Linked DNA regions of Canis lupus familiaris. The protein of the gene in region 1 interacts with the protein of each later gene in a pairwise test. Links are inferred from orthologs where the notes say so. Each region holds a gene or a part of one and is shown in the gene's direction. Other genes may lie near its edges.

Region 1 (8,174 bases):
GTCCCTGATCAGGGATAAACTCCGGGTGTGGCTGAGCAGGTGACCAGGGAGCAACCGGACGCCGGCTGGGTGCTTTCATTACTCCTTGGGTGGACGGGGGTCTTCGTTTGTAGGCCCCCAAGGCCAGCTGTCGGGTGAGCTATGTACCCATGGGTCTGTCTGTCTGTCCCTCACCCCACCGCTCAGCCTGCACACAGCTCTGCACCACACTGATGGTGACAATACCCACCAACGGCTCCCCTCGTCCCGCCCAAGGTCACTCCTGGGCTGTCCAGGCTCTGGTGTCGCTGCAGTGAGCATCCCAGCTCGGGGAGTCGTGTCGGAGGGCACTCAGTGGCCGGGCCGTGACGTCGGGTGTGGGAGATCGCCCCAAGAGGCTGCACAGGTTCATCCCAGTGGGGGAGCAGGGCCTAACGGCAGGCGGCCCTGAGTCCAGGTGACCACTCAGCTGGAGCAAACACTCCCCTGGGTGTTGGACACAGCTCACACCTGTGTGCCATTGAGATAACAGAACAAAAAGAAAAGAACAAAAAAACAAACAAACAAAAAAAGAGATAACAGAACATCGCAACAAGCCTCGAGTAGTGGCGGGGTTTAGAAGACCCCATTCTAGGAGGCACCCGTCTAAGGGCAGTGGACCCAGGATGGGGTGCACGCTCTCTGCCACGGGACACGCACGCAGTGAGGAGCCTGAGCCAACTGCCAGCGTGGACTCGGCTCTTCCCTAAGGCGGAAGGGTGAGCGGGGCCCAGGTGGGGAGGGCAGGAGCAGAGTGTCCCAGGCCATGGGGAGACCCCGTAGCTTGTAGCATGGACCCTGGGGCAGGGCCACCCCTGCTCCGGAGTTTCCTGCACTGCTCCGAAGCCTAAGCTAGTCACTGCCATCAAGGGCCTAAGCCCACCGTGCCAGGGGCTGCCCTGTCCCCAGCCTGCAGGGCCCAAGCCTCTTTGGCCTGAGGAGCTGGTGCGGGAGGGCACAACGGGGGCAGGTTCTCCAACCGCCCTCAGGGTTGGCCCTGGCAGTGGTTCAGCTCCAGACTGTGTCCCGCCACCCCTCCTGGGTCCTCAGGCCTGGCAGAGGGAAAGGCTGGGGTGGCCTAGGGGGCCTCAGCCTTCTGTGCTGGCTGCAGATTCAAGCTGCTCTGGGGCCCACGCTCTGCCCCCCGTCCCCTGTCCTGGGCAGCCATCGCTCCCCCCCTCACCGAGCCTGGCATGGAACACTTCCAGCGGCCGGGGGCGGGCCTGTGTGGTGGCTGTCAAACCTGTCGCCCCTTTCCTGACCAGCAAGCTGGCACGACTGCGCCTCCTCTAGCCTTCATTCCAGGGCCAGTCCTTCCCCTTTGTGGAGGTAACTCAGCTCAGCCCCTGGACGCTCTTCTCCAAATTTTCCAGTTGATACCAGCTGTGTCCTAAGCTGAAAAGTGCTCCCCCAAATTCGCATCTACCTGGTACCTGTGAATGTGGCCTTATTTGAAAGTAGGATCTTTACAGACAGAATGAACTTGGGAGGACAACTTACTGGATCAAGGTGGGCCCTAAATCCAATGACAGGTGTTCTTTTAAGAGGGAGCCTCAGAGACAAACAAAGGATAAGGCCGTGTGACCCTGGAGGCAGAGAGCTGGGGAAGGCCTCGGGCTGCCAAAGCTGCCAGAGGCGGGAAGGGTCTTCCCCTGGAGGGACTGCGGGCCTGATGACACCGGGAGATAATCAATCTCCTGTGCCGGAAGCCACCCAGTTTGTGGTCCTTCATTACAGCAGCCACGGAAACTCACACGGTCCCCCTGGGGCTTCATCCAAGGCCAGCCGAGCTCCAGCAGCCACTTCCTCCGGAGCCTGTGGCCTCCCACGGCTCCTTAGGCAGATGTGGGGGAGGACGGGGCATAACGGCCAGCTTTTATGGGCCTGCCCTGGCGCTGAAGCTGTGCATCCCTCATCTACTCCTCGTGCTTTACCTGGAAGAGGAGAGTTGTCCTGCCCCAAACAAGGGAGGAATGGAGCATAGGACAGGGAAGGGGCTGGAACTGGCTGTGTGGCCCTACGACGCTGTTGTGACCACCATGCAGTCCTGCCTGAGGGTTGCCAGCTGGAGAAGCAAGGAGCAGGGGCTCCAACAGAGCTGAGCACTGGATTCTCCTGGCTCTGGTCACAGGCGCCCTGCTGTTCTGGGCCCCAGGGAGGAGGATGCTCCAAGTGGTAAGTCCTCACCTACGCAGAGGCAGACAGCAGCAGCAAGACAGCACTAGGTGCCCTGCGCCTCCACGACCTTGCTGGCAACCACAATCTCAATGTGGCTTCCCTGCATCTACCACCTTTCTGGACAGGACTCACCCCAAATGTGTGACTTCACGTTACCATGAGCTGCCCGTGGCCCAAGTGAACCAAAGTCCTGCTGGACCCAGATTCACCTGCAGGGCATCAGATGTTCCTCTGGGTTGTGCCCAGCCTGCCTTTCCCATCCTTACGTCAGGCAGGGCCCCAGGGAGACCTAGTGATGAGCAATTTGGAGCAGTGGATGCCCCCATGGCCCACCCACCTGCCACTGTCAATTCTACCTCCTCCTGCAGCCGTTACAGATGCTGCCTGGTACCCCGCTGCTCCTGTCTCCCCAGCGCGGGTACCGGCTCTAAGCTGGTCTTGGCGTCCCACCACGATCCTAGCGGTCCCCGTCCCCCTGCTTAGAGCATGGCCCGCCTGCTGGCATCTGCCTTGGCCCTGTTTCGGGGAGTGCTCTTCTTGATGCCCCCCTGCCTGATGCCCCACCCGGAGCCAGCACTCAGCCTCTCCCCTTCCTTCCGCGGAACAAGCGCCCAGACCTGGGGCTTGTGAAGATGTTACAAGAGTGGGCCGCAACGGGCTGGGAAGGGGGAAAAGATTCCCCCGCACCTGGGAGCCAGGGTGGGAAGTGGCTGCAGGGGCTCTGGAGCTGGGAGCAGGGTCCAGGGTGAGCGTGGAATAGAACCGCACTCCTTCCAGGAGGTCACGCTCAAGAAGCGGCTGTCCATCCTTAAACAGAGACCAAAAGGCCCCTTGCCCTGCCGGACTAGGGGGACTAGGGGGACTAGGGCACAGGCCGGGCTGACCTCTCTGCCCCCCGCGGTGAAATCTGCAGCGGACGCCGTCACGTGCAATCTGGTGCTGAACTGGGGGGCGGCCCTGGAGGCCCAGGACAGCGCTGGACAAGCAGGACGCTCAGCGAGGCCGCAGATCAGGGCTCCCCGGGACGGCGGCTGCAGAAGGCGAGCGCAGACAAAGCCTAGGACCCCGCAGGTGCGGCCCCAGCGACCGCGGCGCTCGCACCCAGGCCGCCCCTCGGAGGGCCGGGGGACGTCTGCGGGCGGGGGTCCGGCCTGCTCTCGGTGGCTTAGCTGGGGGCCGCACGCGCCGGCTGACCTCCAGACCTCGGGGCTGCGCCCGGGCGCCCCGGGCCGAGGCCGGGCAGGTGCGCGTCCCAGCAGGCCCGCCGCAGCCCCGCCGCTCCGCCGCCGCCGCCCACGTGACTTCCCGGGCGCGCTCCGCCCCCGCCGCGCGATACCGGGACCCGCGGCGCGAGATCCGTCCCGCCCGGCGGAGGCGCGCAGGCGCGGCGCGTGGCGGCCCGTCGGCGCTCCCGGCCTGCCCCGCGCGCGCTGACGTCGCGCAGCCTCGTCCCCGCCGTCGCCGCCGCCGCCGCCGCCATTGGAGTCGGCGCCTCGTCCGTGCGTCCCGTCCAGGCTCGTCGCCCCGCGAGCGCCCCGCGCGCCCGGTAGTCGCCGCCGCCGCCGCCGCCCGGCCGGCGCCCGGGGAGGAGGCGGCGGGCCCGGGGCCGCGAGAGCGCGGGGGACAGGCCCGGCCTCGCGGGGAGGCCCGAGCCGGCGGGCGCCCCGGCCCCGCGCCGCGCCGCGCCGTTCATGAAGCATGTCGGCCACCAGCGTGGACCCCCAGGTGGCTGCCGGGGCGGGCGCGGGCGCGGGCGCGGGGGCGGGCGCGGGGGGAGGGCGCCGGCGGGGGGCGGGGCGGCCGGGCCGGGCCGGGCGGGGGGCGGGGGGCGGGGCGGGGCCGCGCGCCCGGGACCGGTCCTCGTGGGTAACTCTGTGTCTCCCTCCCGCCCGCCCGGCTGCGCGCCCTCCCGGCCCCTGCGGCCACGCAGAGAACAAAAGGACAAGACACTAAAGGTGAGCCGCGTGGGCCCGGGCTGCGCGGGGCCCCCGACCGGCGGCGGGCCGTGGGGCGGGGGCGGGGGGGCAGGTCCAGGAAGGGCATCTGGAACCGGAAACTTTGCTCCCGTGTGCTTCCGGGAGATAACCCCGAGGCTGCGGGAGCCGAGGTCGGGCGGCGGAGCGCGGGGCTCCTGCGGGTGCTCAGGGACCCTCGGCCGGATGGGGACGGGGACGGGGAGGGAGGGGAGGAGAGGAGGGGAGGGGCCGCCCGCCCGCCGCCCGCCCGCCCGCTCCCCACCCCCCACCCCTCGGCCCCCTGCATCGCCCGGGATGTTGTGGCTCCGGACAAACCCCCAGAACGCGATCTGGGGAGAACCCGTAAGTGACACTTGCTTGTTTACTTGGAAGACGCTTTTTTTTTTTTTTTTTTTTTTTTAAACTCGGGTGTAACCAAATATGGTTCATCACGTTTTAAGATTGGAAGAGGCTCAACGCTTTATTTACCTTTTCTTTCTTTCTTTCTTTTTTTTTTTTTTTCTTGGCTGAGCCATGGTAACAGTGGGAAGTAAGTGGAGAGCCGGACAACGGCGAGCTCAGAGCTCAGAAGCTTCCCCGGCTGCCCTGCGCTGAAAGCCGCGGCGGGGGTCCCCGGCCTGCACGCACCCTGGGCCCGCTGACCTCCGCTTGGTCGTCTTAACCAGGACCCAGTTACTAGTTCCTTGTGTTACTCTGTCTGCACCTGCGTCTTGCCGACTTCTATCGAATTATGATTAGCTTTGCGTCAAAAACGTAAAGTTACTGGAAGTTGTGCATCACCGCGTTAATTACTTGTGTACCTATTAGTTGGATGCTGGTTGTCTTCCTTTTTAAATAAAGGCAGGTTCTAGGAGTTGATGGGTGTAGACTTTATTTTTTTTTAAGATTTTATGTATTTACGAGAGACACACAGAGGGAGAGAGAGGCAGAGACACGGGCAGAGGGAGAAGCAGGCTCCATGCAGGGAGCCCGACGCAGGACTCGATCCGGGTCTCCAGGATCACGCCCTTGGCTGAAGGCGGTGCCAAACCGCTGAGCCACCTGGGCTGCCCTAGACTTGACTACTTTTGATCTTAGTGCATCAAAGCAACTTTTTAAGATTCAAAAATTATATTTTTCCTTTTTTTTTTTTTTTTTTGTTCTAGTACAAAATGGTTCTTTGCATCAGAAGGATACAGTCCATGACAATGACTTTGAGCCCTACCTTTCTGGACAGTCAAATCAGGTGAGTTTATTTTATGGCCTATATCTTTATGTTCATTTTTGTTGAGTTTTGTAACACATTTTTGTTGTTAACAGTTTTTCACCTTATTCTCCTGAACGATCAAGAAGCGCAGTATAAAGTACTAGCAGTAGAGAGCGTACTGACCACTTGCTTGGTTGACTGTCCTTGAGTTACACGTAGGGCATGAGCGCAGTGTAGCGGGTGTGCTCTCGGAGGAAGTGGTGTCCCACGGGGGCTGCATGCAGGTGGGCTTCTGCTGGCCTCACATGGATGGCTCAGTGATGCACTGTTTTTGATGGAGTGGAAATGTGTGCGGTTTTCTGAAATTTTCTGGTGATTTATTTTACCTCTGGGCAATTAGAATAGGTGGCCTAGGAGAGCATCTAAGAACTGAGCTCTGGAGCCAGACTTTGGTCTCATGTTTGAATCTTCACTCTACCACTGACTCCCTGCCCCTTCCTTAGAGGACTTGCCTTCTCTCTACCTCTCTTCCTGTTCGGTAGACCCGGTTGTAGTGACTGCCCACAGAATTGTGGGGATGGTAACAGCGGGTGGCTCACGTGAAGCTCAAACTGGTACCTGTGCAGGGCCAGAAAGGTCACAGCTGCCCATTTTTCTTGGGTGCTTCAGAGTTTGTCAACCTTGGCACTATAGATGTTTTGCACTGAAACATTCTTTGGGGGGCTGCGCTGTATGTTGTAGGATGTTTAGCAGCTTCTCTGGCCTTTATCCATGAGATGCCAGTAGTAACGGACTCCCCTGCACACACACCAGTGTGACAACAAAAAATGTGTTGGTGGTGTCTCCTGGGGGCCAGCTTGCCCTGGTTCAGTCCGCTGGGCTAGTGCAGTATAGGCTTAAGCATGATGTCTACCAGGTTTTAAATGTATTACATATGTTTGCTTTAGGATAAAACCAAGCTTTGCCTTTTTTTTTTTTTTTTTTTTAATTTTTATTTATTTATGATGGTCACACAGAGAGAGAGACAGAGAGAGGCAGAGACACAGGCAGAGGGAGAAGCAGGCTCCATGCACCGGGAGCCTGACGTGGGATTCGATCCCGGGTCTCCAGGATCGCGCCCTGGGCCAAAGGCAGGCGCTAAACCGCTGCGCCACCCAGGGATCCCAACTTTGCCTTTTCTTGCAGTGGAGTAAAGTTAGTTTGTTCCTTTTCTTCCTAGTCTGCTCTTGTCTAAAGAGTCTTAAAGTTTCTTAGAACTTTTCTCCAGTTTTCTCCTTTTTATTGCATTGAGCAGCTCAGCAGCAGAGGCACCAAGGAGACCCTTTATAGAGCCTCCCTGGACCCAGCCCCAGCCCTCCTCTGCACAGGACCTGGAGCTGCAGAGTAGAACTGGCCTGGCTGCAGTGATGCATTGTTAGAGCTAATGGCAAGAAGTGAAACAGACTTAATTTCATTTTGGTATTTTGTTTTTTCCTTATGTGACTTGAATATAGCAGAAGTGTATTCTAAATTTCAACCAGAGAAAATTGGAGGGGGTTGCTTCACTACTCTTGAAATACGTTTTTATAAGGCAGGAGCTTTCATGTTATTTGGGAGGACTGCTTTGGAAGTGGAGCAGATGATTTTCTGTCAGGAGGGTAGTTACAGCTGTTTCTCCCTGGGGAAGCTGGCTGTGAAGACCATTGTAGGTTGACATTCCCATGAACAGCCTTAAAACAGCTGCGTTATCTTGGCCGTTAGGGTGTGTGCTTTTCAGCAAGATGGTTAATCAGCACGCTCCTTAAGAGTAAATGCATGCTCTTGATTGAGAACAGATTTTCCAGAAACACCTAACTGTTGGGAGTGTAGGAAGCAGGTAACAGGAGAGCTTTTAGATCCTCATGTTCCTGGTCCTCTTGTTTTGTGGATGAAAAAGTGGGACTGGAGAGGCCTGGTTGCCCAGGTGGTGGAGCCAGTTTGGCAGCTGGTTCCCCACTGATTGGGGGGAGGGGGCCGGGGATGCGTGTCCATGGCAAGGGCTCCTATTGTGCTTGTGTTTGTCACTTCTTTATTCAATGGGGAGTGGGGGCACCATGCAGTGTGGCCTCCTTGCTGATAAGCCCCTGGGAATTGATGACACCCCTGGTTTTGGACTCTGCTGGCGAAGATCCCTGTTGAGGAAAGCTCTTGTGTCTTGGTCCTCCAGGTCTCAGGCTGAGGGTACACCATGGTGTCCAGGCAGCCAGAGTGCTGGTGAGTCAGTGAGAGAGTGGTTTGTGTGGCCTGGAGCAGCACTTCCAGTTGTCAGTTGAGGTATTGTTGACGTGCCGGGCTGCACGTGTGTGAAGGGTGCAGCCTCATGAGTGACTCTGTGTGCCTGTGTTTGGCCACAGAGAGGGTGGGGGTAGAGCTGTCAGCCCCGTGGTTGCTACTTTGTGGCTGTTTTAGCCCACATGTTCCTAGTAGCAAGCTCTTTCTGTTTCTGTGTTTGAGGTTCTCATACCTGGGATGATTAGGAAACTGTTTCAAAGCAGGACTTTCAAGTTAATGTAACTTGTAACATGCTGTGAAGGAACTGTTGTCCTTGGGGTAGGTGATTTTTTTTCCCCCCAGAAAGGTCTCGGGACACTGCTTCTCGGGTGCATTTTTTCCTTCCTAGTCTCCCCCCACCCCCCCACCCCCCCCCAGGACCATCTTGATGGTCTGGGCCCCTTGTGTGACTTGGAATACATGTTAGCTTTAGGGAATGGGGCAGGCGGGAGGGGGGGAGCGCTGGGGAGCAGAGGGGCTCTGGGTGAGGGGCTCTGGAGGGGTTCTAGGTAAGGGGCTCCCTGGGG
Region 2 (8,131 bases), on another chromosome or scaffold:
ATTATGTTCTTCTTCCATCCTATTTTCTGTGGCTGGATGGCTTTGGTAACAAGCTCTACTTCAATATATAAAATAAAATTGGTTCTACCAACATTTCAACCTTAAGAAACGGAAGAAAAGTAACCTAAGTAGCATGAATCCACAGGACAAGAATCTGATGGAGGTAAGCCATATCCAAACACTCCTTGGAGCACTTACATGGCATTGGGACCCAAATTTGACTCCAAGAGGCTGGCAACCTAGTTAGGGAAGACACATCAAAATATGCCCTGAATGCTACCACATGGGGGAGAATAAACTGCTATAGAAGCTCAAAGTAGGACCTTAAATAGTCTGAAGAAGTAGAGGAGTTTCTAGATAGAGATGTTAGCAGAGAAAGAAGTCTAGGGATTGGATCCAGGAAAATAAGGTAGTGATAAGAAAATGAACAGGAAGTAAGAGGGGAAATATATGGGAGAGGGAAAAGATACTCACTGTAACTCATCTTATTACAAACTGGATCACTTTACCAACTTCACCAGATATAACCATTCATTAACAATAGTTCAAGGATCAAGAAAAAGGAAAGGTCCCTCAGAAAGAAAACTAAACAGAAAATCTATAGCAAGGAAAAGCACTTAGAAGGCTCCACTTGTGCCTCTCTTGCATTGCTTCCCCTAGGTTTTAAGACTTGTTTACATGCTCTTCCCATTCTATCAGGACATCTTTTGCAGGAGGGACCACATGTTCATCACTTAACATTACCAACAGCATTTCATTTAAAAGAAAAAAAAAAAAGGTCTTTTTATTTATTTGAGAGAGTGAGAGCCCAAGTGGAAGGAGGAGCAGAGGGAGAGGGAGAAGCAGACTCCCAGCTGACCTGTGGGAGCCCCACAGGAGAGGCTCAATCCCAGGACTCTGGGATCATGAACCTGGGGCCAAAGGCAGGCACTTACCCGACTGAGCCACCCAGGCATCCCCCCACCCAGCAGCATTTGAAACATAATCTGTATGAAGCAAAATCCATCATCTTCTCCAACCGTTCTGTCCCTTAATAATGGTTAACAGTGCACAATCCTTCCAGTCCCCAGCACATCCTGTCACCTGCAGGATCAGCCTGGCACTCTACAATCACCCTGTCATAACCTTTTCCACTCCTGAGCACAGTTGAATCCCTCAGTACCTCTCATTTCATTTGTACCTTAGCTTCTCTTTTTCCAGCCAATTTTACCCTCACACTTTTAGAATAACCTTCCTAAAATCCGCTAGTTATTTTACTTTCCTACTTAGGAGTGCAACAATAATGTCTTACAAAGAGTAACTGCATACAAATAAAGTCAACATCCCTCAGCATAGCATTCCCAGCTATACTTTTTTTGTTCCATGGCCTCTAAAGCCCGTACACATATCCAATCCTCTGGTCACACTGAGCTACTGCATACTCTTAGAATTTGTCTTTTGTTCCACTGGCTGTCTTTCTTCTGTGGTTCCTTCTCCTCGATTTTGCCATCGAGTAACTATATTCCTTTCTTTCAACCCTCTAACGCTATATACTTCCTCTCCAGCATTTATCACTTTCTTCTTGCCTCACACCATATTTTTATATTGTCTACCAGGCCCTAAACTCCTTGAGGGCAGGCTATTGTAGCCTCAAAACCTGCTTATAACAATTGCTATACGGCTCAACTCAAGATACCTGTTCAGGGATCATTCCCCACACACCATATAGGATGGCACCATGCCCTGCTCAGAAAAGGTAGTAATTCTTTGAACGAGTGGATGATGCTTCACACTCACCTCCCCCACCCTGCTGTCCAATGTAAAGAAAGAAAAAAAAAAAAGAAAGAAAAAAACTACTTGTAGCATTTAATTGCTTGGACAAAAAAACGGGTTATGGCACTAATTCTTCATATATCCCGAAAGGTCACATCTTAAAAGCATATTCTGGGTCATTCCAGCCGTAACGTCTTGACCGAGCCTCAGAGCAGCCCCAACTGAGTTCGCTCTTTCTGAAGTTGGAATCCACTGAACTCCCACGGGAGCCCCGTCTAGAGGACCGCGGTATGTACGTGACAGGAACCGGAGCCCAAGGGGCGGGGGCGAGACCTGCAGACCCGCCCAGCGGCGCCCGGACCAGCCAGTGCCACCTTGTCCTTTCCCCAGCGGTGTACGGTTTACAGCGTGCCCTCGCGCTGGTCTCCTCCTAACACTGTCCTGAGGCAGAAATTCTCACCTCCCTAAAGAAACAGAAGATCGGAGGGGAGACGGAGAGGAGAGGCGTGGCAACGGGCTGTGGCGGGGAAGGCGGGTGGAGGTCCGGAGCCCGAGCAGGATTTCGTTCCAGGCTCAGCCCTGCCCGAGGCAGCTGTGGGGCCGCGGGGCGGGGGCGCAGCGGACGCACGCGAGGGCCCTCCCGCTCTCACACTGCCGGATGCTGAGGCGCTGCGAGGGGGGCGCCGTGTGGGGCCCGGCCGCCCAGACCAGCTCCCTCAGCGGCCCCACAGCAGCCCGCGCGCCCACCCCCTCGGCGGCTCCGCCGGAAGTCCCGCCTGCGCCCGCCGCGGCCGCCCCCCATTGGGCTCGGCGCCGGGGTCTCGCCGCGGGTTGGCCGCCCGGAGGCGTGAGCCCTGGGGGGCCACTGCGAGCCCCGAGTGGGGGGACCCGCTGGAGACCCGCTGAGACGCGGGGTGGCCGCGGGAGGCGGGGCGGGGAGTGCCGGGGCGGCCGGCGGGACTTCCGCCACGGGACCCGGAAGGGGCCGCGCCGCCGCTGGTGGGAGTTGTAGTCCGGCCGTGGTTGGGGGGGCCCGCGGCTCATGCGCGGTGCACCGAGGCTTGTTTCACATCTGTAACAACAGGTGAATTGGGCTTTTTATTCTCCCCTTTCGTGTCCCCTTGAGGAGCTTGCCGCGGCCGGGGGTGGTCGGCGCGAGGAGAGGCCCGGGTCCGACCGCCGGCTTGGCGGAGAGTGGGGCGGAGAAGCGGGCGGGCCCGAGGAGCAGGCCGGGCATCCTAGGCCTGCCCGCGAAGCCGGCCGGGCCGAGCCGTGGGCAGCCAGGCCTCGGCCTGCCGTTGCCATGGAGCCTGGGCGGGGGCGGGGGCCAGGCCGGTCCGCTGGGGCGGGCCTGGTAGCTAGGGGCTCCGCGGGGACCGCGGGAGAGGCCGCTTCATTGGCGCAACGACGCCTCCGCCTCCGGGGATGCTCGGTTCCCCGAGGCAGGGCCTGGAGGAAGCTCCTGGAGTGCCCCGGGACCTTTGTCTGTCCCCCGTGCCGCCTGGACCGTTCGTCCAAAGGGAGGCCTGGTGCATTCTGGCTCCTTTGGTTTGCCCCGTTTTGCACCGACCTTGTCACTGAGGGAGGCCAAGGGGTGAGGTGTTCTTTGTTTGCTGGTGGTGACTTGCCCCATTTCGCAGGGGAAGACCTAATGCATGTTGGGTCCTTTGTTTGCAGTGAACTGGAGTCCCAGGGGTCCTCAGAACCCCCAAGCCTGGAGTATGGCGTCAGGATGCTGTCTAGCTACTCCTTGTGTAGCAACGTTGGTCACCTTAATTGTGATGTTGTAAGGCAGAGATTGTCCCACTTTGCAACCCCAATCCACAGGGTCTTGCCATAGACTGTAGCAGGTGGACTGCAGATGGCCAGGTGCAGACTCTCAAAACTGTTTTTGGTTGCAACTTACTGGCCAGAGGGAAAGGAGACATTGTCTGATGGTTTCCCTTGCAGTTCTTTAAAGGCTGTAAAGCCACTGTCATTGTGGGTCTTGACTATATCTTACTATTTACACTTAAATCTTGGAATGTTGGAGTTTCCAGGAGGGAGTTCTCTTTTTCCTGATAGAGTTTATGATAATGCCCTTTATTTGTAGAGCTGTTTAAGATGCAAGAAATACATCCTTTGCTGAATTTTTTTTTTTTTAAAAACTATGTAGGTTGTCCTTTTAGCTCCAAAGAATATTATTCTCCAAATGTTTTAACTTCTGTAGCCATGGTCCAAAGTTTATCAATTGGACCCTTCTTGCCACTTTCAACCTTTATGTCACTATAAAATATTATTTCCAGGAATGAACCATGGGACATCTAGGCAACAGGACAGTACCATAGAAATAAGAAAAATAGTGTAGTGTAAGCATGGAAAGCTTTGGAGTCCAGTACTTAACTGTAGATTTCCATTCTGCCCTGAGGCAGCTATGGGATCTTGGGCAACTTACATAACTTTCTTTGGGAAAATCTGCCTCAATTTCCTTCTCTGGGAAAGATAATTTCTACCTAACTGGGAAGTTGCAAAGATTAACTGCTCTAAAGTCTGTGGAAGTACTTTGTGAACTCTGAAAATGGTATTCAGTAATCATTATTTTCCTAACCTGGAAGAGGTTTTTTTTTTTTTTTTTTTAATCTATCTTAGGTAGGGTCATATTAGAGTCGTTATGGGATTAGAATTCAGAACTGGAAGCAGGTTTTGCTCTGGGCTTGGAGAAAATGCTTTCAGGACTACAAGCCCCTTTTCACCATGACACCTCTTTCTTGATATCTTACAGGTGCTGATGTAGGGCAGCTCACAATTTGATGGGTTGTGAGTCTGTCTGTCATGGCAGGTCCTGAAGTGAGGCCAGTGTGTCCAGTGTGGGTTTCATGCCATTAACAAAACTTGTCCTTGTTGTTAGAGTCAGTAAATGGATTTCAGTGGTCTGCAGCAACTTTATTTTTCGTATGAGGTTCATCACTATGGTGACCGATAGTGACCCAGTCTTGTATTTTCTAGGAGGAGGCCCAGCCTCGTGATGAGGAATTGCAAGGAGAGAATTCAGCTTCAGTTCAAAAGCCTACAAAATCTGAGACTGTCACTGCTCGTGTAAGGTAAGTTGACTTAGCCATGCACACAAAGCAGTGACAGATCTCACATACAGCCACACTGTAAAGCAAAGGCACATATTAAATCCATTTGTGACTGTCTTAGAAGAAGGCTATCATTTTTAATTAGCCATTATGGAATTTCTCTGTCCTTGAATCATCCCATAGTGACTCTACCTGGAGTTAAGTGGTGTTTCATTATGCAAGAACTCTTGACATAATATTATTTTACTTATCTTTGAATTATTTGAGAGAAACTCTGAATCATAAAAGTTTCCAACATAATTATATTTCAAGGAACGCACATTTTTTTTCAGTTTCTGAAATGTTCTGGAACTCAGTAAGATATCTTTAAAACATCCTATCTTGAATATCATACAGATTTTTTTAGATTGATATAGGAAAAGATAGTGTCATGTGGCTTTGGGGTTCAGGACTTTATTTTTTTTAATAAAGATTTTATTTATTTATTCATGAGAGACAACACAAAGAGAGGCAGAGACATAGGGAGAGGGAGAAGCAGACTCCCCATAGGGAGCCTGATGTGGGACTTGATCCCAGGACCCCGGAATCACGATCTGAGCCAAAGGCAGGTGCTCAACCACTGAGCCATCCAGGTGCCCCTGGCCAGGGACTTTTTAAAAGCAGAACTAACAGTCTGTTTATAAGCAAATTAATTTACTCTTTCTTAGCAAGAAAATGTTGTGACTCAATAATTGCTTAGATGTTTTAGATTTTATAATCAGATTTTCTTTAAAATTAGGATCTCAAATTATACCCTTTTTCTTCTAATTTGGATAGAAGGAGTCTATAGAATGTAACTTCTTAAAGTGAATTGTGTCGTTGTTGATATTGTATTGAAGTTTTCTCTCTGAGCTACCATATCCTATCGGCTGAAATTTCCGGCATCCCTGGGGGAGAGGAGGCCATCAGGGCAGACCTGCTATGGACCTGAAAGATTCGGCCCCAGGTCAGCCCTCCACCCCCATCTCCCCGTGATTTGAGAATGAGATGGGAAAGCAGTCAGAAGCAGGAGTGTAGGCCCTATTAGACTCCTTGTAATGTTGGACATTATGCTGGTTTGCTAAAACATTGTGTAGATGTTTTTAAACTGAGGCCACGTAAGTTTACTGCACCAACCCAGGAGTACTACATTATTAAAAATATCTATAAGTGAGTTTGAGTGTTTTTGAAACAAAAATCATTAAACCAGAGGTGTTACTTCTCTCTCTCTCTCTCTCTCTCTCTCTCTCTGTGTATGTTTTAAGGCTCTAAGTATACTCCTCAGTTAAATGAATAAAATGTACCAAAATTTTTGCCCAACAGTTGAATTTTTTTTTTAAAGATTTATTTATTTATTCATGAGAGACACAGACTGAGAGAGAGGCAGAGACATAGGCAGAGGGAGAAGCAGGCTCTTCACAGGGATCCCGATGTGGAACTCGATTTCGGATCCCGGGATCACGACCTGAGCTGAAGGCAGGCACCCAACTGCTGAGCCACCCAGGCATCCCACCAACAGTTGAATTTTAACTTAATATTTGTTGTATAATAGACTCTGCCACAAAAGGCTTTTTACTTTGAATCACAGTCCACTTACTTTTTGATACTGCCATCAGGTCCCATCCCTAGGGTCTTGACTGGGTTTTGTGAAAGTTCAGTAAACTACTTTGTCCATAAGGCAGTCAGTCCCATTCGCTGGTGCCAGATGAGAAAAGGGGTCCATATAGAATTTCCTTTCTTCCCAGAAGTCCCAGGAAAACTGCAAAGTGCTGTGATGAGGTGGAAATACGTCTCTCAGGATGAAATGCATCTCGTTCTGTTTAGCAGGGTTTAGGGAGTTTAGGACGGAGAAAAGAAGAAAGCTCTCAGTGATAAAGAAACAGAGCCATGTAATTACTCTAGAGTGGAGATGGCCCTTCCATCCTTAAGGCCAGGAGCAGCAGTTGGTGCTCAGTAGTGAAGAGTTTCATTTGTCTCACCTTCTGGACCATGCTTTTTGTGTATTTGAAATCTTCTCTGTGGGGTCCTGGACTGAGAATAGTAACCATTGCCTCTTGGCCCTCCTTCTTAGGATTCCAGCTTTCCCTCCTGGCCAGAAATGTTCAGCCTGGACTCATTCAGAAAAGGTAAGAACATAGCTGTGCCTGCGACCTCATGCCCTCCTTCCCTGGGACGGGCAGCTGTGAAGGCTGCAGGGACTCCTTACCAGTGTGTAGGACCCCTTAGACCCCTTCTTTGCATGACTCACCAAAGTCCTTTCTCTGCCTTCCCCTCACACAGTGCTTATGACCCCATGGCTGAGTACCTGGCCGCATCCCTGTGTTCCTTTGCTGTTCCTCTCCCTGAATATCCTCTCACATGTACTCACTGCTCATTGGAAGCCCATCTATTTTTCTACGCCAGTGTTTTATCCCATTTTCTCCATGAACCATTCTTGATTCTGTCAACCAAATTCAGTCCCTCCTCTCTCTGATTTTCCTCAGGACCATATCTGTACTTTCTTGTGCTTAGTTTATTCGGATCTAATCTCCACATCCCTAGATTAGAAGCTCCCTGCAGCCAGAGCCTGTTGTGTCCCTTTATCATTTATGGCACCTGGCATAGCATTTTGCACAGGGCAGGCCTCAGCAAATGATGGTGAGTGTGGATTGGGTCATTGTTATATTAGTGGTCATAGAAACCGTGGCAGGTTTTGGAATCACGCTCTCTAGCAAATAGGGTCAGAGGGTTGTATAAGCAGTGATAGAATGGAGCAATGGCTGGCCTGCAGGGTAGTGTTTATTCATGCTTATAGGAAGTACTGTAGCTGGGGAAGCCTTCAGGGACCACATCTCAGAGGGCCTTGTGTATGTATCTTAGGAGCATGACTTGCCTCCTTTTAGGGAACAGTGAGTAAAAGGCCTGTTACCTCTGTTGATGCAGACCGGGAAGTTCCTGTCTGAGCGTTTTACAAATCAACCATAATAGACCTTCTATAACTACTGATTAAAAAGGCTCTCCCCTGGAGGCCCTGGGTGGCTCAGTCAGTTGAGCATGCTACTCTTGATCCAAGGAACTTGAGTTTGAACCCCACATGGCACTCCACGCTGGGTGTGGAGCCTACTGAAAAAAAAAAAAAAGAAAAGAAAGGGTCCTTCCCGTTGTGTCTCCTCTCCCACTTATGTTCCTAGAGGCCTGGAAAACCTTAGCTGAGTGGTGTCCTGTTGGATGAAATCAGAAGGAGGCCTGGAAGTCCCAGGGCTCAGCAGCCTCTTTCTGCCTTCTTGTTTGTTTTTAGCCACTCTGTTATTATATTGCACAAA
Region 3 (7,647 bases), on another chromosome or scaffold:
CTCTCCATGGGTTAGCTGATGAGATGAGGTCATACCTGGAAAGGGCTTTGTACCAGCCAGGCCCTCAGTAAGTGGTAGCCATTTTTACCACCGTGTTGGTGCCCAGAGGGAAAGGTGAGGGTTTGAGGGCCCAGCTACAGAGTCTCAGGAAACTGTTCTGATCCTCCACTGTGGACTCAGTGCAGGGGGACAGAGAACCCGGGGGCTGCAGTGGAGCCACTCCCAAAGGTGTGGGCCGGTGGGCCAGGGGTTGGGTAGGAAGGGTAGGCTGGAGCCTGCCCCTGCTCTGGGGCCCTGAAGCTGCTGTCAGTGGGTGAGTCGGTGTGGGGCTGCTGGAGTAAGGGGCCACCAGCAGGGAGCTGAGCAGGCTCTGTACACACTCCCTCCCGATTCCCCGGAAAAGCATGCACGTGCAAACATTTGGGAACAGTGAGACTTGATCCTATTCTGTCTTCTGGAATTCTGTTTGCAGGCAACCACCTGCCGCCTCTGTACCTGGATGGCCATGTGTTTGCAAGTCAGCCCCGGCTGGTTCCTCAAACGATACCTCAGCAGCAGAGTTACCAGCAGGTGATGATTGCAAGCCAGGCGGGCCTGGGCAGGGTGTGGTGGGGCGGGGGTGCAGCGCACAGTGGAGTTAATTTCTTCATTGATTTGTTCATTGTCTGGCTTCCTGTGTCCCTCACATGTAATGCCCAGCTCCCAGCCTGTCCTAGCAGCCAGGAAACATTCAGTGAATGAACACAGGAGAGACAGGGAAGAGGACGGGAGCTCAGTGCTCCAGACTCTCTGTCTCCCTCTCTCAGAGCTCTTCCTGTGTCCTAGCTGGGGAATTAGCTGAAACGGAATTCTCTTTGGTATCCTTTGGTATCAGGTATCCTTCTGATGAAGAGAAGAAAAGCCTAGACTCCCAGGCATGGATGCATTAGAAAGAGGTAGTTTTAGAAACGTGCAGGTGTTTGTTTTCATGCAGGATGGGCGTATTTTCTGTGCTGCAAGGGGCGGATTTCTGAAGTCTCCCTCCTGAAGCTGGAGTGGAGCCTTCTGATGGTCCAGCAGCCCACAGAACTGTGTGCCAGGACGGTGGGGCCCTTGGGCAGAAGCAGATTTGGGGACAGAGGACTTGGCCTGTCCCAACCTTTTTATGAAACATACTCTTAATTATTACATCATTTAGATTTACCAGATTTTGATCTTCACGTGACTGGATTGTACCGCATGTATTCTTCATGTATGAGTCCTGTTCACCATTGACATGCCTCTGTTGATAACCGTAGCTAGAATTCATTCTTGCTGTTGTACAGAATCCAGGATAGGAACGTGCCAGGGTTTGGGATTGTTACCCAATTGTTTGCTTTTTCCCAAGAGCAAGGAAAGCACCAGAAGGACATGTCCCAGTTTGCATTTGGGGCAGTGTTTGCACTGCCGCTGGACAGGGGGCGGGGCGGGGTGGGGAGCAGCTCAGAGGGCCCCCAAGGTCACCTGCCCAGTTACCTGCCTGGCTTCCCCTCCGCAGGCTGCCGCTGCCCAGCAGATCCCTCTTTCCCTTCACACATCTCTGCAGGCTCCAGCCCAGCTGGGACTGAGGGGCGGGCTTCCCGCCTCCCAGGCTCAGGAGATCTTCAGCTCCTTACAGCCCTTCAGGTGAGATGCAGCCAGGGACACAAGCTTCCACCTCTATGGCCTGTGAGCTGCCATTCCTCGCCTCTGCTTTGGGGTGGTTGGTGGGGGGAGGTGGTGATCATGGTCACTTCAGAGTCATTAATGACTCTTGCAGGAGCTGCGTGGGCTTGATGATGCTCCTCCGTGGGCTTTGTGTCTTTTTTCCACGTCGTCCTACCCCTTCACAGCCCCTCTCCATCTTCCCTTCCTCCTGCCTGCCTCCACCGCCTGCCTATACCCATGGTCTGCTCTTCCCATGTGTCTGAAGTCCCATGCCTTTAGCATCACATAGGTTTTCCTGTGCCTTGTACAGCCTGGATGTGTCATCTAGTGATGCTCAAACTGTGGCCCCTGGACCAGCAGCATCCACACCATCTAGGTCCATGTTACAAATGCAGATTCTCAGGCTCTGTCCAGACCTTCTGAGTCAGAAGCTTGGGGTGGGGGGCGGCTAGCAGTGTGGATTTTAGCAAGCCCTCTGGGGGATCGTGCTGCGTGCTTCTATTTGAGACCCACTGGTGTGCTCCTACATCTGACCCACCGTCTGTCTGGCTTTTGCAGATCTCAGGTGTACATGCATCCCAGCCTGTCACCACCCAGCACCATGATCCTCTCTGGAGGCACAGCCTTGAAGCCTCCATACTCGGCGTTCCCAGGCATGCAGCCCTTAGAGATGGTGAAGCCCCAGTCCGGCTCCCCCTACCAGCCCATGAGTGGAAACCAAGCCCTGGTCTACGAGGGCCAGCTGGGTCAGGCTGCGGGCCTAGGCGCCTCCCAGTTGTTGGACTCCCAGCTCCCACAGGTCAGGAATTCCATCTCCCCTGCCCAGCACACTAGGGCCTCTTTCTCTTGTGACTGTTTTTCCTTTTTATCTGTCTCTTGATTTTGCTGACTTATGTGCAGCTTGTAACCATTGTGATTGGTCCTTGGGCTGCTAGAACTGGGGCTAGGTCCTCTGCCTCTCTGGAACGGTCCTGTCCTATTTATCCCCTGAGAGCACTGCTCCTCCCACAGCCTCTCTCCCGCCCTCATCCTGGGGGGCTTGGAGATGGGGTGCATGTTCTCCTGGCATACTAATGCTTCTGGACAGCTCTCCCTCTGTTCTCCCCAGAACCCCAGCCCTGGAGCCCATACTGTCGATGGCTCCACTGGCCTCCATGTTACTGTGAGTCCATATTATGAATCCAGCGTTTGGCTTCATGTCTTCCTCTCCTGTGACCGTCAGTAGTATTGGACAACTTTGAGGGTCGCTCCTGGTTCAGTCTCTCCAGCATAGCTCCTGTTGTAACTGCTGGTGGTTTTGATGTGTGTGTAGATGATAGCCTGGTCTCTGTTCCTCGGCCCCTTGCCACCAGGGCTCCGCGTGGGAGCCCTGTCGGGACTTGTCAATGCCAGAAGCTGTACCTTTTCCACCATCTCAAGTTTAAGGGTTTTACTCATGCCCACCCCTGCTCTGCTAGCTCTCCCTGCTAGCGATGCAGCTCTGGCCACCTGATCACCTTCTCCTGTGGGCTCACTTCCCTGCCAGCTTATCGGTGCTGCCCATTGCATTTGTCCTTGTCCCCACTCCAATGCTCTCACTTAGGTCCAGGCCTGTGTCTGCACAGCTGTCTGTGCCTACAGAAAACCAGACCTGCTTGGGCTATCTGCTGCCAGGCCCCGACAGCCACCCTCGGGAGTCTCCATGCCCCTGAACTCGGGCCCCATCAATCTCCAGCCTCCAGTGCCCGTCTCAGACTTGCAACTTTCTCCTCACCACCCTCTACCTCTACCCTGTCACTAGAGAAATAGAAGCAGTGATGAAACAAGAGATCTTGTACAAAGCACCGCCTGAGGGCTTTCCTGCCACAGGGGTGGGCTGGCGGAGCTTGGGGAAGGCCCTTCCAGCCAGGCTCCAGCTCCTTCCTACGTACATCACGTGTGCTGTGGGCACAACGAAGGGCCGTACCCAGCCAACTCTATTATTCCCCTTATTAAAAACACAAAACCATAAAAATTTTTTAAGGACACCAGTCAATTCCTGATGGTTATTCTTTACCCTCATCTTGCTGACCCATCCGCAGCATTTGACTCCGGGATGCTCCTGACACCTGGAGTCATGTTCTTCACTCTGTTCATAGGCGCTGCCATCCTGGCAACCCCTTCTTCCTCACCTGTGTGGTGTGTGATTTCTTGGTGCCCCCTAGGCTCTGCCCTCCAACCTCTGTCTAGTCCTATGGCTTAAAGTCCCATCAAGGGACTTAGGTCTTCCCAGTCCCACCAGGTATTTATTTTCTCACCTGTGGGCTACCCGTCTCCTCTGCTCTGGTGTCTTAGGGCATATCAAACATAGTGTGTGAAGGCATCAAGTCCAAAACCTGATTTTTCTCCTGGTCCTTCTGGCTGTCTTATCTATGTCACTGTAGGTCCCCATGTCCCCTCACATCCCCTCTGATCCTTCAGCGAGTTCCATTGGCTCTATCTTTGGAAGGTATACAGAATCTAGCCACTTCTCATTCCCTCCACACCCCACCCTGTCCAGGCTCCTGTGGGGGTTCCTCCCAGATCTCTTGGCTCTACTCTTGGGCCCAATGATCTGTTCTCAACATAGCAGCTGAGGTTCCCCCTAAAACACAATTTTGGCCATACCACATGGGGAGCCAGTGCTCCAGAAGCGTAGTAACATCCTCCTCTTCGTCCCACACTCTATTGTGTGCAAGGAGGAACGTGGGGTCTTGAGGCTCTGGCTGCCACTCGTCTCCGTGATGTAATTCCAATAGATCCTTCTGACCCCCCCGTGGACTCAATGCAGGGGGATGAAGAGGAAAGTGACTGAGAGACAAGTGGCGTCCCTGCCTCAGTCCTGAGGCACCCCCCTGTCCTTGTCACCCACCTGGTGCTGGACTTGAGAAGTGGTCCCTTAGAGCTTGCTGTCACCATTCCCCTCTCCCCCATGTTCTGCTATTATAATAGTCTTCAGAAGGATCCAAGAGTCTCCAGTTCCAGGAACCCTTTACCCCAGAACTCAGTTGAGTTTTCCATACCCTTTAGAGGCAAAACAATAAAGGGGTTTTCCCTTTTTTGCCTTGCAAAGCAGTATGTAGATAGAAATCCATCCAGTGTTCGTGTTTGGGGACTTGCTTGGACATTACCTCCTAAGAAGCCTCCTGACCTTCCCTAACTCTTCCCCGCCCCACCCCCCCAATACATAAGGGGCTTGTTGCCCGCACTCCCCATGTTGGGTCTGTGTCCAGTATGACGCTCTGTCCTCTCTGCTCCCTGGGTCTGATAGTGTCCTGGTGCTTCCCTTGGGTGCATGCAGCCCTCTGCAGCCCTGGAGAGGAGCCACTCCTGTCCCCTGTGAGCATGTTACAGTGTAGCACCTGCTGGCACGGCCCTGAGCTTGTCTTCTCCACCTGCTGGTTCCAGCAATCAGACTTGCCCTACTTCTGAGGGTATTCCCTAGCAGAAATCTAGAGCCTATATTGCTGTGCAGAGGCCACGCTTTAATTCTCTTAAAATGAGAACCTGCAGTATAATGTGTGTCCTCTCCTGGGGACACATGTAAACAGTAGTTCGTGGCTTTCTCCTCAACATCCATTCCTCCTCTTGACTGTCCCTGTCGCCCAGCAGCTGACGATGCCGCTGCCTGGCTCCCAGCTGCCTCTGCCGCGGTACGGCTCCGGGCAGCAGCCTCTGATTCTACCACAGTCCATCCAGCTGCCACAGGGGCAGAGCCTCTCTGTCGGGGCCCCCCGAAGAATCCTTCCACCCGGCTCCCAGCCTTCGGTCCTTAACACCAGCAGAGAGGTAAGGAGGACTCTCGTGCCCGGGAGAAACCTTGCTAGCTAAGTCAGGAAGTGCTGTTGGGGCAGAAAATTCCAGAGGTTGGGCTGCAAGCTAGCTCTTGGCCTCACCAGACCACTGGTTTCCTGCTCGTGGTGAAGTCTTCTAGGAACCCCATGGCGCAACCCCTCCCCACCTTGGTTCAAGCTAGCAACATGAGCCGACACCCAGAAGAGAAGGGAAGGGGTGTGTGGTGGTGATGCCTGGGGCCTCTTGGCTAGGGGAGCTGTGGGGCCGTTTCAGAGACCGTCCCAGACATCCCCATGGAGTGTGTCTAGGGCTGGGGTCCAGGCTCTGCATTCCTCCCCGGCTTCAGGGGCTCTGCTGATGGCCATCCTGGTGGTGGTGCACAGTCCTCTCTCCCCACCCCACTTCGAGAGAACAAAAACAGGATGGTCCTTGGTTCCAAGAAGCCTCTCAAGCCTAGATTGGAGGGGGAGGGGGAGTGCAGTTTGCTTTAGGTGATCCCTTTCCCTCGCTGGAAATTCTCAGTGTCTCTGCACGAGGGTGGTTCAGTGAGGGCCAGGCAGCACAGGGCCATCAAATGACCACTCATACCTTTGTGGTGTCTCCAGTCCTCTCAGATGGAGATGAAGGGCTTCCACTTTGCCGACAGTAAACAGAATGTTCCTTCAGGAGGCTCTGTGCCATCACCCCAGACTTACAGGTAAAGAAATGCCCTGGGTGGGGGTCAGATGCTGCATCACCAAATACTTGGTCTAGATGGGACTCCATGGTTCAGAAGAGTCGGGGGCCCAGGGAGAGCCATGGGAGGGCACTGAGGCAGGGTCCTCTTTGAGGCCACATGTCACTTTGAAATTTCAATACTGGGACACTTTCATGTTTTAGTGAACCATGTTTTAGTGAACTAGCAGAGTGATTCTGCTTTTAGTCATCATAATAAAATGTTCTGGTGTGGGAGAGCTTTCTGGAAAGGTAGTAAGCTGATGTTTTAATAGTGTGAGGCCTGACCTGACTGCTCACGGCTTTCCCACCAGATTTTACAAAGGATTTGCTGACCAGGAAGGTGTACTCCCTGGAAGGCGAGGAGAATTCCCTTTCCTGGGGCTGCAGGCCCCCTGCACTGGCCCTCTGGCCCCATGAGGGCCTGTGGCTGCTGGCCTTGTGGGGCCATGTGGACTGGCCCCTTCTCTTTGCATCCTTGGTCTTGGTCTCTGCCTCTCCAGTAACTAACTGTCCCAGGTCCCTTAGCTGGATTGGGAGGTGGCTTTGCATGAATCCTGGTGTGGAATTACTTATTATACTAGAAACTCAAAGAACCTCTGGCCTTACTGACCTATTTGCCCCTGAGGAAGAGTGGCAGGGATGGGGAGGCAGCATGCTCTGGCCCGGGGCCCATGGGCAGGTGCGGTTGGCTCTTGTTACACGTGGGAGATGCTTGGAGCATCCTCCTGTTTGTAAGCAAGCAAAGCAGACGTGTGACTCATGGCGCTCTGTGAGAGGTGAGCGGCCCGGCTCCAGGGCGCCCCGAGGACCCTCTAGGGGCGTATAGCTGCTCTCCGAGTGGGGAGCACGTCTGCAGATCAGAGCATCATCTCCGGTCTTGCAGCTGTGGCCACTCTGCCCTGCTGCTCTTGAAGTGTCGAGGCTGGGTCCTCATCCGTCCCGTCCATCCCGTCCTTCCCATCATTCCATGCTTCCACCTGCATTTCCAGAGGCATTTGTGTGATGTTTCCCCCTTTCCATCATCTTTTCTATTACTTTACCCTTTGGCTTCATTTATTTTTGTTCATTAGTTTGTTTTGTGTTGTGACCATATTTTTCACATAGGCCAAAATAACAGAACTGTATGAAAGATACAGACAGCAACACAGAATGATGACTGTAGTCTGGAATAAGGAAGGAAGCTCTGTGGATAAACAAATGCTGTCAGCCCCCTGTCGCCATGGGTGACATTGAGCTGCATCTGGTCCCAGAGGCAAACCAGAGCACAGATGCTCACACAGCAAGAGTTGCCCATGTCTGTTCAGGGTAGGGACACAGCAGTGGGCTCTTTGAAGAACGCGTAGAACATAGAAGCCTTCACGAATAGCCTCTGTTTTGTTGGGGTTGTAGTGGGGGGAAAATTGGTGTATTTTTATAGAGCAGTGTTTCCCAGGTTTTCTGGAAACAGGGCTTCTGAGGTGTGCCCTGCCAAAA

Evidence for each region.
Region 2: the proteins of YTHDF1 (region 1) and DHX30 interact in a two-hybrid assay, tested with the Homo sapiens proteins (2 studies listed by BioGRID, with this or other methods). The link is inferred for Canis lupus familiaris from reciprocal best matches to the Homo sapiens genes YTHDF1 and DHX30.
Region 3: the proteins of YTHDF1 (region 1) and PRRC2B interact in a two-hybrid assay, tested with the Homo sapiens proteins (2 studies listed by BioGRID, with this or other methods). The link is inferred for Canis lupus familiaris from reciprocal best matches to the Homo sapiens genes YTHDF1 and PRRC2B.

Annotation. Positions count from the first base shown.
Region 1 is NC_049245.1:47,785,525-47,793,698, reverse strand, and holds the start of YTHDF1 (YTH domain-containing family protein 1), read left to right. Parts: upstream 1-3,815; 5' UTR 3,816-3,894; coding exon 3,895-3,921; intron 3,922-4,126; coding exon 4,127-4,151; intron 4,152-5,317; coding exon 5,318-5,397; intron 5,398-7,543; exon of another isoform or gene 7,544-7,650; intron 7,651-8,174.
Region 2 is NC_049241.1:41,532,768-41,540,898, reverse strand, and holds the start of DHX30 (ATP-dependent RNA helicase DHX30), read left to right. Parts: upstream 1-3,040; 5' UTR 3,041-3,055; coding exon 3,056-3,346; intron 3,347-4,737; coding exon 4,738-4,832; intron 4,833-5,689; exon of another isoform or gene 5,690-5,771; coding exon of another isoform or gene 5,772-5,796; intron 5,797-6,900; coding exon of another isoform or gene 6,901-6,955; intron 6,956-8,131.
Region 3 is NC_049230.1:52,734,922-52,742,568, reverse strand, and holds part of PRRC2B (protein PRRC2B), read left to right. Parts: intron 1-472; coding exon 473-570; intron 571-874; coding exon of another isoform or gene 875-886; exon of another isoform or gene 887-935; intron 936-1,516; coding exon 1,517-1,644; exon of another isoform or gene 1,645-1,648; intron 1,649-2,223; coding exon 2,224-2,464; intron 2,465-4,398; exon of another isoform or gene 4,399-4,481; intron 4,482-5,271; coding exon 5,272-5,451; intron 5,452-6,062; coding exon 6,063-6,154; intron 6,155-7,647.